Drosophila melanogaster: one gene and its partners. The protein of the gene in region 2 purifies or fractionates together with the protein of the main gene of each other region. This does not show direct contact. Each region holds a gene or a part of one and is shown on either strand. Other genes may lie near its edges. The genes, in order: Akap200, Stip1 and GstE6.

Evidence for each region.
Region 1: the proteins of Stip1 (region 2) and Akap200 purify together in Drosophila melanogaster (affinity purification with mass spectrometry, with the first as the bait; one large-scale study listed by BioGRID). This does not show direct contact.
Region 3: the proteins of Stip1 (region 2) and GstE6 purify together in Drosophila melanogaster (affinity purification with mass spectrometry, with the first as the bait; one large-scale study listed by BioGRID). This does not show direct contact.

What each region holds. Positions count from the first base shown.
Region 1 is NT_033779.5:8,413,885-8,417,638, reverse strand, and holds the start of Akap200 (A kinase anchor protein 200), read right to left. Parts: upstream 1,950-3,754; 5' UTR 1,753-1,949; intron 1-1,752. Other genes in the region: CG13398 (uncharacterized protein), read left to right, coding at 2,760-3,754. UniProt on the Drosophila melanogaster protein: Scaffolding protein involved in the regulation of PKA signaling and anchoring to the actin cytoskeleton integrating signals propagated by cAMP, diacylglycerol and calcium.
Region 2 is NT_033779.5:293,415-297,168, forward strand, and holds the start of Stip1 (stress induced phosphoprotein 1), read left to right. Parts: upstream 1-1,707; 5' UTR 1,708-1,857; coding exon 1,858-1,866; intron 1,867-1,931; coding exon 1,932-2,214; intron 2,215-2,289; coding exon 2,290-3,397; intron 3,398-3,562; coding exon 3,563-3,635; 3' UTR 3,636-3,754. Other genes in the region: U2af38 (U2 small nuclear riboprotein auxiliary factor 38), read right to left, coding at 208-958, 1,027-1,070.
Region 3 is NT_033778.4:18,403,947-18,407,351, reverse strand, and holds GstE6 (glutathione S transferase E6), read right to left. Parts: upstream 1,342-3,405; 5' UTR 1,311-1,341; coding exon 642-1,310; 3' UTR 591-641; downstream 1-590. Other genes in the region: GstE7 (glutathione S transferase E7), read right to left, coding at 1-397; GstE5 (glutathione S transferase E5), read right to left, coding at 2,050-2,718.

The DNA of each region.
Region 1 (3,754 bases), 8.1 Mb from region 2:
AATTCTATGGGGCGCCCTCCCCTCCTCCTTAACAATAAACCAATTTCAAAGATACATTCGGTTGGCGACCGCTACCTGAAATCGCAGCGAAATAATTCAATTTGCTCAAATTTCGGGAGTGGGGAAAATTCAGAATGCAAACTCCATTCCTAATCAAATTTTCAACAGGCAAATTGATAAGATTTTCGGAAATATTTACAGTTTTGGTGCCTAAATTGGGTCACTGACAAATAAATTTGGTCAGGTTAGAACACAAAGAAGAGCATTCATTTTCAAAGAAAAGATTTCAGTAGAGCAATCATGAAATTTCACTTGTCAAATACGTTTTACGTATTAAGTACAGTACAAATATTTAACAATAAAAGTAATTATATACTTAAGAAATATGATTGTGACAAGAACTTGAATTTAAGATCCTTGACAGAGGCTACTAAAATTTAAGGCATTAGCATTCAGCGTTGCAAGTAGATCATAAAATTCTCTTAGCAGTAGTATAAATTGCAGTTGACAATCGAAAATCTTGTGATTGCGCTTCTGCTTCTTCCTCCTCGGCCTCTGCCCACCCACTCCATTCGTAAAGGACTCACACATGCAGCGAGGCACGCACACAGGCACACTACCCCAGGCACGCAAGCACATACACCACACACACAAAGACATGTAGGCGACGCCAGTTAGGGCGGTGGCTGTCTGCCCGTCTGCGATTGAGCGATTGAACGACTGAGTGACGGACGGACGGACGAACTGACAAACCGACGCTGCAGAAAGTGCGACGCAGTTTTTCGCAACAAAAGTGTAGGAAAAACAAAAAGACGATCCTCCTCGTATCGATAATCTGAGTAAACCGAGACGCAAAAGGGATCGAAACGTATACAAAGATCAAATGGCCACAGTGGGCACTCGCTATGTGCGTGCACCTTGCACAAGGATGTTTGGCTGAGAAGGTAGAAACATGTTGGCAAGTGTAATCAGGCGTACAATGCAAACAAAGAGGAGACAACGACAATGAACCAGAAGTCAAGGCGAAGCGATGGCACAAAGGACCAGAGCGATGAGCGGGCGAGGCGAAGGAAGGCGAGGCACAAAAAGGAGAGAGCGCTAGATTGAGCCGAAGAGACAAAGAGAGAGAGAGAGAGCGAGACGGATACGGATACAAAGCCACACCGGCATGGTGTTTGCCTCTGCCGCCGTCACTGCCTGCGCTGCTGCTGCGGACGCCGACGTGGTGGCAACGCCGACGCATTGAAGGCGGCACACCCAAAAATTTTGTAAAAAGGCAACTACTCCAAGGTGGCGAAATTCGAATGCTGTATTTTGCGGGGGCGGGGTTAATGACAAAGAAAGTTCTCCTTAAATGCATAAAACTCCATTTAAATATCTCTTTTAGTCTTCGCTTCTCCCATTCTTCACCGTTCACGCACACTAAGCCGCCTTCCATGGCGTCCTTTTTCCTGCCTGTGTGTGTGAGCGTCGGCGGGCGTCTCTTTTACAAACACTTGTGCCTCAAATACAGTTACCATTTTTGAAACCAGTTAGAAACTTTTCGTCAATAACTCTTTGTCTCCTTTTCAATCACAATTCCTTTAAACAAACACGAAATTCAAAGCGGGTATAGAGAATTTCAAAAGTAGCACCACTCACGCACACACACACACGCAAGCCGTCTGCCTGCTTGGCTTTGGTTTCTTTTTCATTTATTTTTTTAAATTAACTCCTTTATGTTCTGATCTTATGACTTAAAGTGGAATTTACCTGGCTCGATTCTCTCGGTTTCGGTTTAAAAACACACGCACTTGCTTCTTTCTTTGCTTTGCGATTCTACACTGGCAGCAGCTCTTTTTGCCTGCTTTCCGTTTCGGTTTCTTTTCTCGTTCTTGTTGCGCGCTCCACAAATAAAAAATGTCCGCTCGGGTCTGGTATTTACGTCGCGTTAGGATGTTTTCGCAGTTAGAACGCGTTAGGGCTTCGGGTCTAGTTATAGTGCTGTCCACAAAGTTGATGTTCCGCCAAATGGTTAACCATACAATTAAGATGACTAAAATGCCTTAACTTAAAATTTTTTTATAAATTATATTTGTTTACATCTGAATCCTATTTATTACTTGTTAATTGCAGTAAACATTTGCAGAAACGTAAAAATTACGACGTAAGAAATCTTCAAGATTATTCTATTAAACGAGAGAAAACTTCTATTAAGCTGACATTTGCAATATTTTTCTATAAATTTTGAAATATTAATATTTCCTTGGCTTAAACTTGGCTAAACTAGTTTTTCATTCTTTAAGTGTAATTACTTGTAATTTGTCTTTGATTTTCCGTTTACTTTTTTAAAAAGCGTTTCTTGTAAGTCTTTTTGCGAAAATCAAGTTAGCATGCCCGTTGCTCACAATTGCGTTCTGTCGGGCGAGGGGAAAAGTCGCAGAAGAAATTTTATACCACAAGAACGGAATTTCCGTGGCCAAATAACAACAATCAGCCAGCAGTCCCGTCGATCAGGAGTTAACCAAAGCAGGAGGAGTCAACCAGGATAACAGCAACACAATTCGACTGCACCCCAGAGCCTCCAGTTCCACTGGGTAGCTGATTTCAGCTGGTGGAGGCGGTGGGTGGTGCTCTTATCGGCCTGCGATTTCTTCCATGCCCGCTGCGATAACAGCCAGGCGGACTTGCCTGTCCAGGTGTGCATTTCAATAGGCACTGTACATGACTGGAGTGGATAATCCTTCAATGCATAATACTCCGTCTTTCAGTGCAACACCATGGGCTGCATCACCAGCAGCAGCAAGTTAAATGAGCTGCGCGGTCATGAGAATGTGTTTCGAGTGCGAGTGGCTCACCTGCAACCCACCCCGGGTACGCCCATCATCCGGAGTGGCTACCTGGAGCTAACGCCCCGGGAACTAATATTCCAGTCGCCTGGCTGTGAGCCCATTGTCTGGGCACTGCAACACCTCCGACGTTATGGGTTGAATAACGATCTCTTCTCCTTCGAAGCAGGACGTAGGTGTATGTCTGGGCCAGGGATCTACACGTTTCGAGTCCACAATGCCGAGCAGCTGTATCCGATGTTTCAGCGCTACATCAACGCGGTGAATACAGATGCCTTTGTGCAGGGCGAACGAGAAAGGGTTAACTCCGCTCATTCGGTGTCCGTAAATATGGGCCGTACTGAGGGCAATAACTATCTAGAGCCGGCTCCCCTAATGAGCCGCCAGTTGGGCAACTTCCACAGTGAGCCCTCGAGCACAAGTGCATCGTATCCGCTGCAGGCCAACGATTCGCAAGTCGATGACTCTCCGCCCAATTTGCAATCACCAGTCCTGATACCCAGTGCCTATTTGGATCAGCCATTGCGGGCTTTGCAGGACTGTTGTCTGGAAGGCACCGCCTCGGATTTGCTTTCCACCCCGCCCTCCGGCAATAGGTTGACATCACGTAGGCGCACGATGGACTTGCCACCTCTGGAATCGGCCCCAGCACCAGCTCCAGTTCTGAGTCCCAACGATGCTGTGCACATGTACGCCAATGTGGAAGCTCTGATCTTTGATCTGAACAATGAGCGCTGCTATGAGAACGTAAATCGCTTGGAGCTCCCTCTGCTGCCGAGGGAACCAATTTCCAATCAAGAGCCGGCCACGCCCACCAGCTTAGCGGGCAGCTGCGGAGTAAACTATATAGTGCTGGATCTTGATCAGCCGCGAAGTCCCGTGGGACCGGCGGGTTCATCAAAGGCGATCAATGGATTTGGCAGCGG
Region 2 (3,754 bases):
GGTAAAATATTTCGCGGGGGGTTTGTACATAGGTGGTGGAACTCCCCATCGTCATTTTCCTCCTCCTCCTTCCATCTCGTTTACTCAAAAGTGATATAAAAACGTGGAAAACCAACGCAGAGACTAAAATACACGATGCTTTGCGTTACTGCTTGTCCGTTGCTTTCTCTCTCAATTGCCACCGTACAGAAAAAATGTCCAGAATATTTAATACCGTCCACCACCACCACCGCCTCCTCCGCCACCACCTTTGCGGCGATCGCGATCGTTTCCGCGATCATTGCCACGCATGTTGTCCCGCTCGTTGTTCAAGTAGTTTCCTCCGCCGACACCGTCGCCTCTGCCGCCTCCTCTTCGACCCGGGGATCGGGACCTGCTGCGGGAGCCGCGACGGCGTCCAGGGGATCGGGAACGGGAGCGGGCACGACGGCGGCGGGAGTAGAGGTACCTTCGCAGCTCACGCGAGATGGGCTTCAAGTGCATGAAGTTGCAGAAGCCGGAGCGGGTACATTCGCCCATCTCGTACTGCCGACAGCAAGCCTCGCGGAAGTCGGTCACCGGCGATAGTTCCGAGTACACCGGTCGACCACCGAACCACCGGTTGTTCAAATCGTTTGCCGCCTTTTCCGCATCAGCCTCGTTACGGAATTTGATGTACACATTGCCGACCAGATGGTCGCCTAGGTTGTCGCACACGTTCATCTCCTCGATTTCCCCGTACTTGTCCTCGCACTCTACGAACACGTCCTCGAAAAAATTGTCGTAGTGTTCTTGCATCTCCTCGTCGGAGACGTTGGCCACCAGATGGGAGCCATCCGCGGATTTGGCGGAGTTTTGGGGGTTCACGTATAGATTTTGGAGAAGCACCGTCTGCGAGAAAGTGGGTTTGTTGTGGATGCGAGAGCACCGGTCGCCGTGGCGGCAGGCGCCGATCTTGAAGTAGAACGAACAGTTCACCCTGGGAAATGCAACGCCATTTAGTTATTAATCCCGGCAACGTTAAAATAAATGTGCCATGCGACTTACTTGTCCTTTTCCGTGCCAAAAATGGATGCCAAGTACTCGGCCATGCTGGCGGCTTTACTGTGGTGTTGCTGTGGCCAAAATGTGTAACTTATCTACCCGCTTGTCTCTGCAACGCGGTCAAACTGCAATTATGTTAGCCGCCTGTTTATTTAGTGATAATTTTCAATTATTTTCGGAAACCGAAAAAAGCAGCGTCTGGTCGTATTTTGCACGGCGTTGCCAGCCTCGAATCTAGAGTTGCAAATAAAATCGATGATTAGTTATCGATATTTAGTGTTTTTGGCAGCATCGTTTTTCGATACCTCTGTTCTTAATTTAAATGTTTTAAAATATGCTAACATTTTAAATATTAATTTCAAATATTTAAATATTAATGCACTTAAAAGCCTGAGGACTTATTTTTCATTTGACTAGAAAAATTTTACAATTCAAAATAAGAAATTGAGAAAATTATTTACGCAAATAATAATATAATATAAACATAAATAAACAATACAATAAAATAACATTTAAATTCTATAAAGCTCAAGGTATTATTTATATTTGATCAACAATTTTTTTAATTTATATAAGCAATGGAAAAAATTATTTAAGAAGGCTTGCTGGTTTTGTTCCCCGCTTGAGAACGAGCTAAGTTCTAAACCGCAGTCTGGAAAAAGATTAAATTCAGTCGCAGAAGCATTGACAACCCTATCGATTGCTTCTAGAAAAGTCGGCATTTTTCGCATTTTCACCTGGCACGGCACATTTCGCAGCGTGTTTTATTAAAAAGTCGTACAAAAATACAGGAAAAACTGTAATTCGACAGCGCTATCCTCTCCCTTATCAGAAATGGACAAGGTAAGTGCCCGAGACAAAGGAAAGGCGTTGGCATTTCCAATCAAAAACCCTTGCGGTTTTCGCAGGTGAACGAACTCAAGGAAAAGGGTAACCAGGCGCTCAGTGCCGAGAAGTTCGACGAGGCGGTGGCGGCGTACACAGAGGCCATCGCTCTGGACGACCAGAACCATGTGCTCTACAGCAACCGTTCGGCGGCATTCGCCAAGGCTGGAAAGTTCCAGGAGGCGCTAGAAGATGCGGAGAAGACCATTCAGCTTAATCCCACCTGGCCTAAGGGTTACTCACGCAAAGGAGCTGCCGCTGCGGGTCTGAATGACTTTATGAAGGCCTTCGAAGCGTACAACGAGGGTAAGTTCAAACACAGCTCAGTTATATGCCATGAATCACCCGACCTAACCTCACTAACCTCGGTTACCGGCGCAGGTCTCAAGTACGATCCCACGAATGCTATACTCCTGCAAGGCCGCATGGAAACTACTGCCTCGGCTCTGAGCTTTATGCAATCGCAGGGGGATATACCCATGGACGTTGATCCCCAGCAGGCACGCAGCCGCAGGGCTCCATCGCCACCGCCGGCGAAACCGGCTGAGCCCCCAAAGCCCGCTGAACCTCGGGTAGAGGACATGACTGAGGAGCAGAAGAATAAGTACTTCGCGAGGAAGGAGAAGGAACTGGGCAACGCCGCCTACAAGAAAAAGGACTTTGAAACGGCCCTAAAACACTACCACGCTGCCATTGAACACGATCCCACGGATATCACGTTCTATAACAACATAGCTGCTGTTCACTTTGAGCGCAAGGAGTACGAGGAGTGCATCAAGCAGTGCGAGAAGGGCATTGAGGTGGGGCGCGAAAGCCGCGCCGACTTTAAGCTGATAGCTAAGTCCTTTGCTCGCATCGGTAACACCTATCGTAAGCTAGAGAACTACAAGCAGGCGAAGGTTTACTATGAGAAGGCCATGTCCGAGCATCGCACCCCTGAGATCAAGACCTCGCTGAGCGAGGTGGAAGCCAAAATCAAGGAGGAGGAGCGAATGGCCTACATCAATCCGGAGAAGGCCGAGGAAGAGAAGGAGCAGGGCAACCTTTTCTTTAAGAAGGGGGACTACAGCACCGCTGTAAAGCACTACACCGAGGCCATCAAGCGCAATCCGGATGATCCCAAACTCTATAGTAACCGCGCCGCCTGCTACACCAAGCTGGCCGCCTTTGATCTGGGCCTCAAGGACTGCGACACTTGCATCAAGCTAGACGAAAAGTTCATAAAGGGCTACATCCGCAAGGGCAAAATTCTACAGGGCATGCAGCAACAATCTAAGGCGCAAGCCGCTTACCAAAAGGCCCTGGAACTGGACCCCAACAACGCGGAGGCCATTGAAGGCTACCGTCAGTGTTCGATGAACTTCCAGCGCAATCCGCAGGAGGTCCTCAAAAACGCAATGTCCGACCCGGAGATTCAACAGATCTTAAAGGATCCGGCTATGCGTATGATCCTCGAGCAGATGCAAAGCGATCCCAATGCGGTCAAAGAGTAAGTACCCGTTTGGCTTTATTCGTTCGCTTTTTTGGGTTTCATTGGTAAAATCTAGAAATTAATAGCCCATTTGAAGTTAACAAGCAGACTTACGTTTCTTTGGTCTTATATATTATTAACAACCTGTATACTATATTTTAATTAACAACCTCTATATTTCAGACACTTGCAGAATCCTGCCATCGCCGATAAGATAATGAAACTGCTGGAGTCGGGCATCATTCAGATTCACTAGGCACTCCAGATCCACAAACGAACATCCTCATACAATCACTAACTCACACACAAACCCCATTGATAAACATTCAGGAGAGAACCATTACGCATTATTATGGCGTCTCTAAGCTGGTTAAC
Region 3 (3,405 bases), on a different chromosome or scaffold from region 2:
CGTAACGCTCCTTGGGAATCATCGTTTGCTTACCGGCGAAAAGTGGCTTGGTAATGCTTCTCAGTGCATTAGCGAAGATCACTCCGGACTCGAAATGCAATCGCTGATCCACGACAGCACGCTGGAGGAGATCTTTCGGATAGAGACTGTCCGTTTTGCCGTATTTGGACACCAGATAGGCAATAATGGCATGTGAGTCCCAGATATAATGTCCATCGTCCTCCAACGTGGGCACCGTGTGCTGTGGATTCTTCTTCAGAAACTCCTCAGAGAAGTTTTCCTTGGCCCGAGTGTTTACCTCCACGAATTCGTAGGGAACCTCCAGGGCAGCCAAGGTCAATTTGACGGCACGAACTGGTGGACTTGCCTCCAAGCCGTACAGTATCAATTTGGGCATCTTGTCGCTGGGTAGAGTCTCGTCTATTACTAAACGTCAACAGCGAAGAGTCACTATATTTATAGAATTTCGAAAGAGAGTAATTAAGAGAAGCGAGAGCAGTAGATAAGAAAGTCAGTTAGGTTTTTGCTCTCGCCTCTTCTATTCATTTGTGTCCAAATCAATTATTTCACCACAAAAATTCAAAAGCTCTAGAGTTTTCTAAGCAATTATTTATTGTGACTATATAAACTGTAAAATAATATCATGCTTCGAATGTGAAATTGGTCTTCTTGAAAATGGCCACCAACTGGCGGACGCCCTTGCCATTGGCTTCCTCGTAGTATGGAAGCTGTTCCAGCTTTTTGATCCAAGCACCGATCCTGGGATACTTAGTCGTATCCAAGGCCACGAAGGCCTCAAGGGAGGCCACCGATGAAACGAGACTGAAATCCGCAATGGTCAGTTGATTGCCAGCAATGTAATCCTGTCCCTTGAGAAAAGTTTCCACAAAATCGTAGATCTCGATAATGGCATCGTATCGCTCCTTGGGTACTTTCGTCTGTCCCTGGAAGAGCACTGACTTCGATATGCTCCTTATGCCATTGGCAAAGACCACTCCGGATTCAAAGTGCAGCCGCTGATCCACAACAGCCCGCTTGAGAGGATCTTTCGGGTATAGGGCATCGGAATCGGCATATTTCGAGACCAAATAGGCAATAATGGCATGCGAATCCCAGATGTAGTGACCGTCATCCTCCAGGGTGGGCACCGTATGCTGTGGATTCTTCTCCAGATATTCCGGTGAAAGTTGGGCACGAGCCACAATGTCAACGTTTACATATTCGTAGGTTAGGTTTAGAGCGGCCAAAGTAAGCTTAACAGCGCGAACTGGGGGACTGGGGTCCAAACCGTATAAAGTCAATTTCACCATCTTGTCGCTGTGGGGTCTCTTTTCAAACTAACCCATAACTGCCGAATAACTAATATAATATACAAAACTTGGGATCAATGAAAGAGAAAATTTAAGAGAGATTCCGTGTACTTGAAAAAATCTCTATATTTACTGCACTTTACAAGTCAATAATAATATGTATGAATGTGAATATATGTCTAATCATGCATACATATGTATATCTTTGTCATACTAGAATATTCTAGTGTCTTTGGTCATACAAACCCAAATTTTTAAGTATCCTCCTACTCTTTTGAACTCACTTTACTTTTCTTTTTATGTTTATTTTTAACCTATCCCAACATCTAAAATAAAAAAAAAACTGATTAAAAGTATTTTAGCGCGAACATATGAGAGCACTATATGAATCACAAACATAGAACAACAAGTATTCTGTGATAACCGCTTATCATATGTGAAAATGATTACACAGTACTCGGGCAGAAAATACAAGTCATGCTGACAGAGGTTAATAAAATGGAAAGCCCTCGAAAATGTTTGTTGCCGGCAAGAATATATATATTATCTATGTATGTAGCGACATTCTGTAATAGGTTCTCTGTGTACTTAATACACATTTCATTCTCTTGCTACTTTAATGGAACTAACTAAGTTCTCTTGTTTCCTACAGCGATATTTCTCTTAAATCTAAAATATAAAGAGATAAAAAACCGCAATATTTACAAGTTTCCAAATTATTTATTATAATTTCAGAACTCTAGGTTGCAAAGGTGAAATTAGTGGACTTTAGAATGGTCTCCAACTCCCGGGCTCCCTTCGCATTGGCCTCCTCGTAGTAAGGCAGCTTCTCCAAACGCCTGACCCATTCGATGATCCTGGGATATTTCAACCTATCGATCTCCACGAACGCCACCAGCGAGGTAATCGACGAGATCAGGCTAAAATCGGCAATGGTCAACTGATCCCCAGCAATGTAATCATGTCCAGCGAGGAAGGTCTCCACAAAGTCATAGATCTCGACAATGGCATCGTAGCGTTCCTTGGGAATCCTGTTCAGGCCATTAAAGAATAACGGCTTGGTAATGGCCTTAATGCCATTGGCGAAAACCACTCCTGTCTCGAAGTGCAGTCGTTGATCCACCACAGCTCGCTGGAGCAGATCTCTGGGATACAGGGCATCCGAATCTGCATATTTGGACACCAGATACGCGATAATGGCATGCGAGTCCCAAATGTAGTTACCATCATCCTCCAGTGTTGGCACCGTGTGCTCTGGATTCTTTTTTAGATATTCCTCAGAAAGCTGCTCCTGACCCGAAATATTAACGTTTACAAACTCATAGGGCAGCTGGAGGGCAGCCAGAGTGAGTTTGACGGCACGAACTGGTGGACTGGGATTCACACCATATAGAGTTAACTTGACCATGTTTGCACTTTGAGTTAACGTTCTCTACTGACTGATTCTTGGGATCGAGCGCGTACAAATGTTGTTACCAAATGGAAAGGTTAAGAGAGCATGGCTAAGAGACATTTCTAAGAGAATTTTTGTTGGTTCTTGTTGATTGGTCCTTTAAGAGTTGATTCGTGTAGAGAATAACATAAGTTTCAATGAAACATTAAAAATTTGTGTAATTACAAATTCTGTAGATACTGTTCTGCTTAAATTATGCAATCATTTGATACGGTCTAACGGTTCGTCGAACGATAATCGAAATTGTTTAAGTACTTTCGTGAAAACAATCTAGAACTGACTCACTCAAATAATACTTTCGTGATTGTTGATAACAAGCTATCAAGTTGGTTTGCCATGATTCAAGTAAACATGTTAAAGACCTCGAACAAGTGGATAAGGTATTGTATGTCATGCAACAACTTCTATAGAACAATGGAAAAATACAGAAACTAATCCCCAGATAAACTAACCACCAGGCAAACTAGCCCACAGGTAACTAAAAGTAATAACAATACCTTTTAGGGGGGTGCTTTGCCTATTTAATTGCATAATTTGAACACAAAACAAAGAACATTTTTTTTTGTTTGCTAATATCAATTCTGTGAAAGCGATAATTTCCAATTAAAATGTTAAGCCATTTACTGTCGAAATCAAGACTAG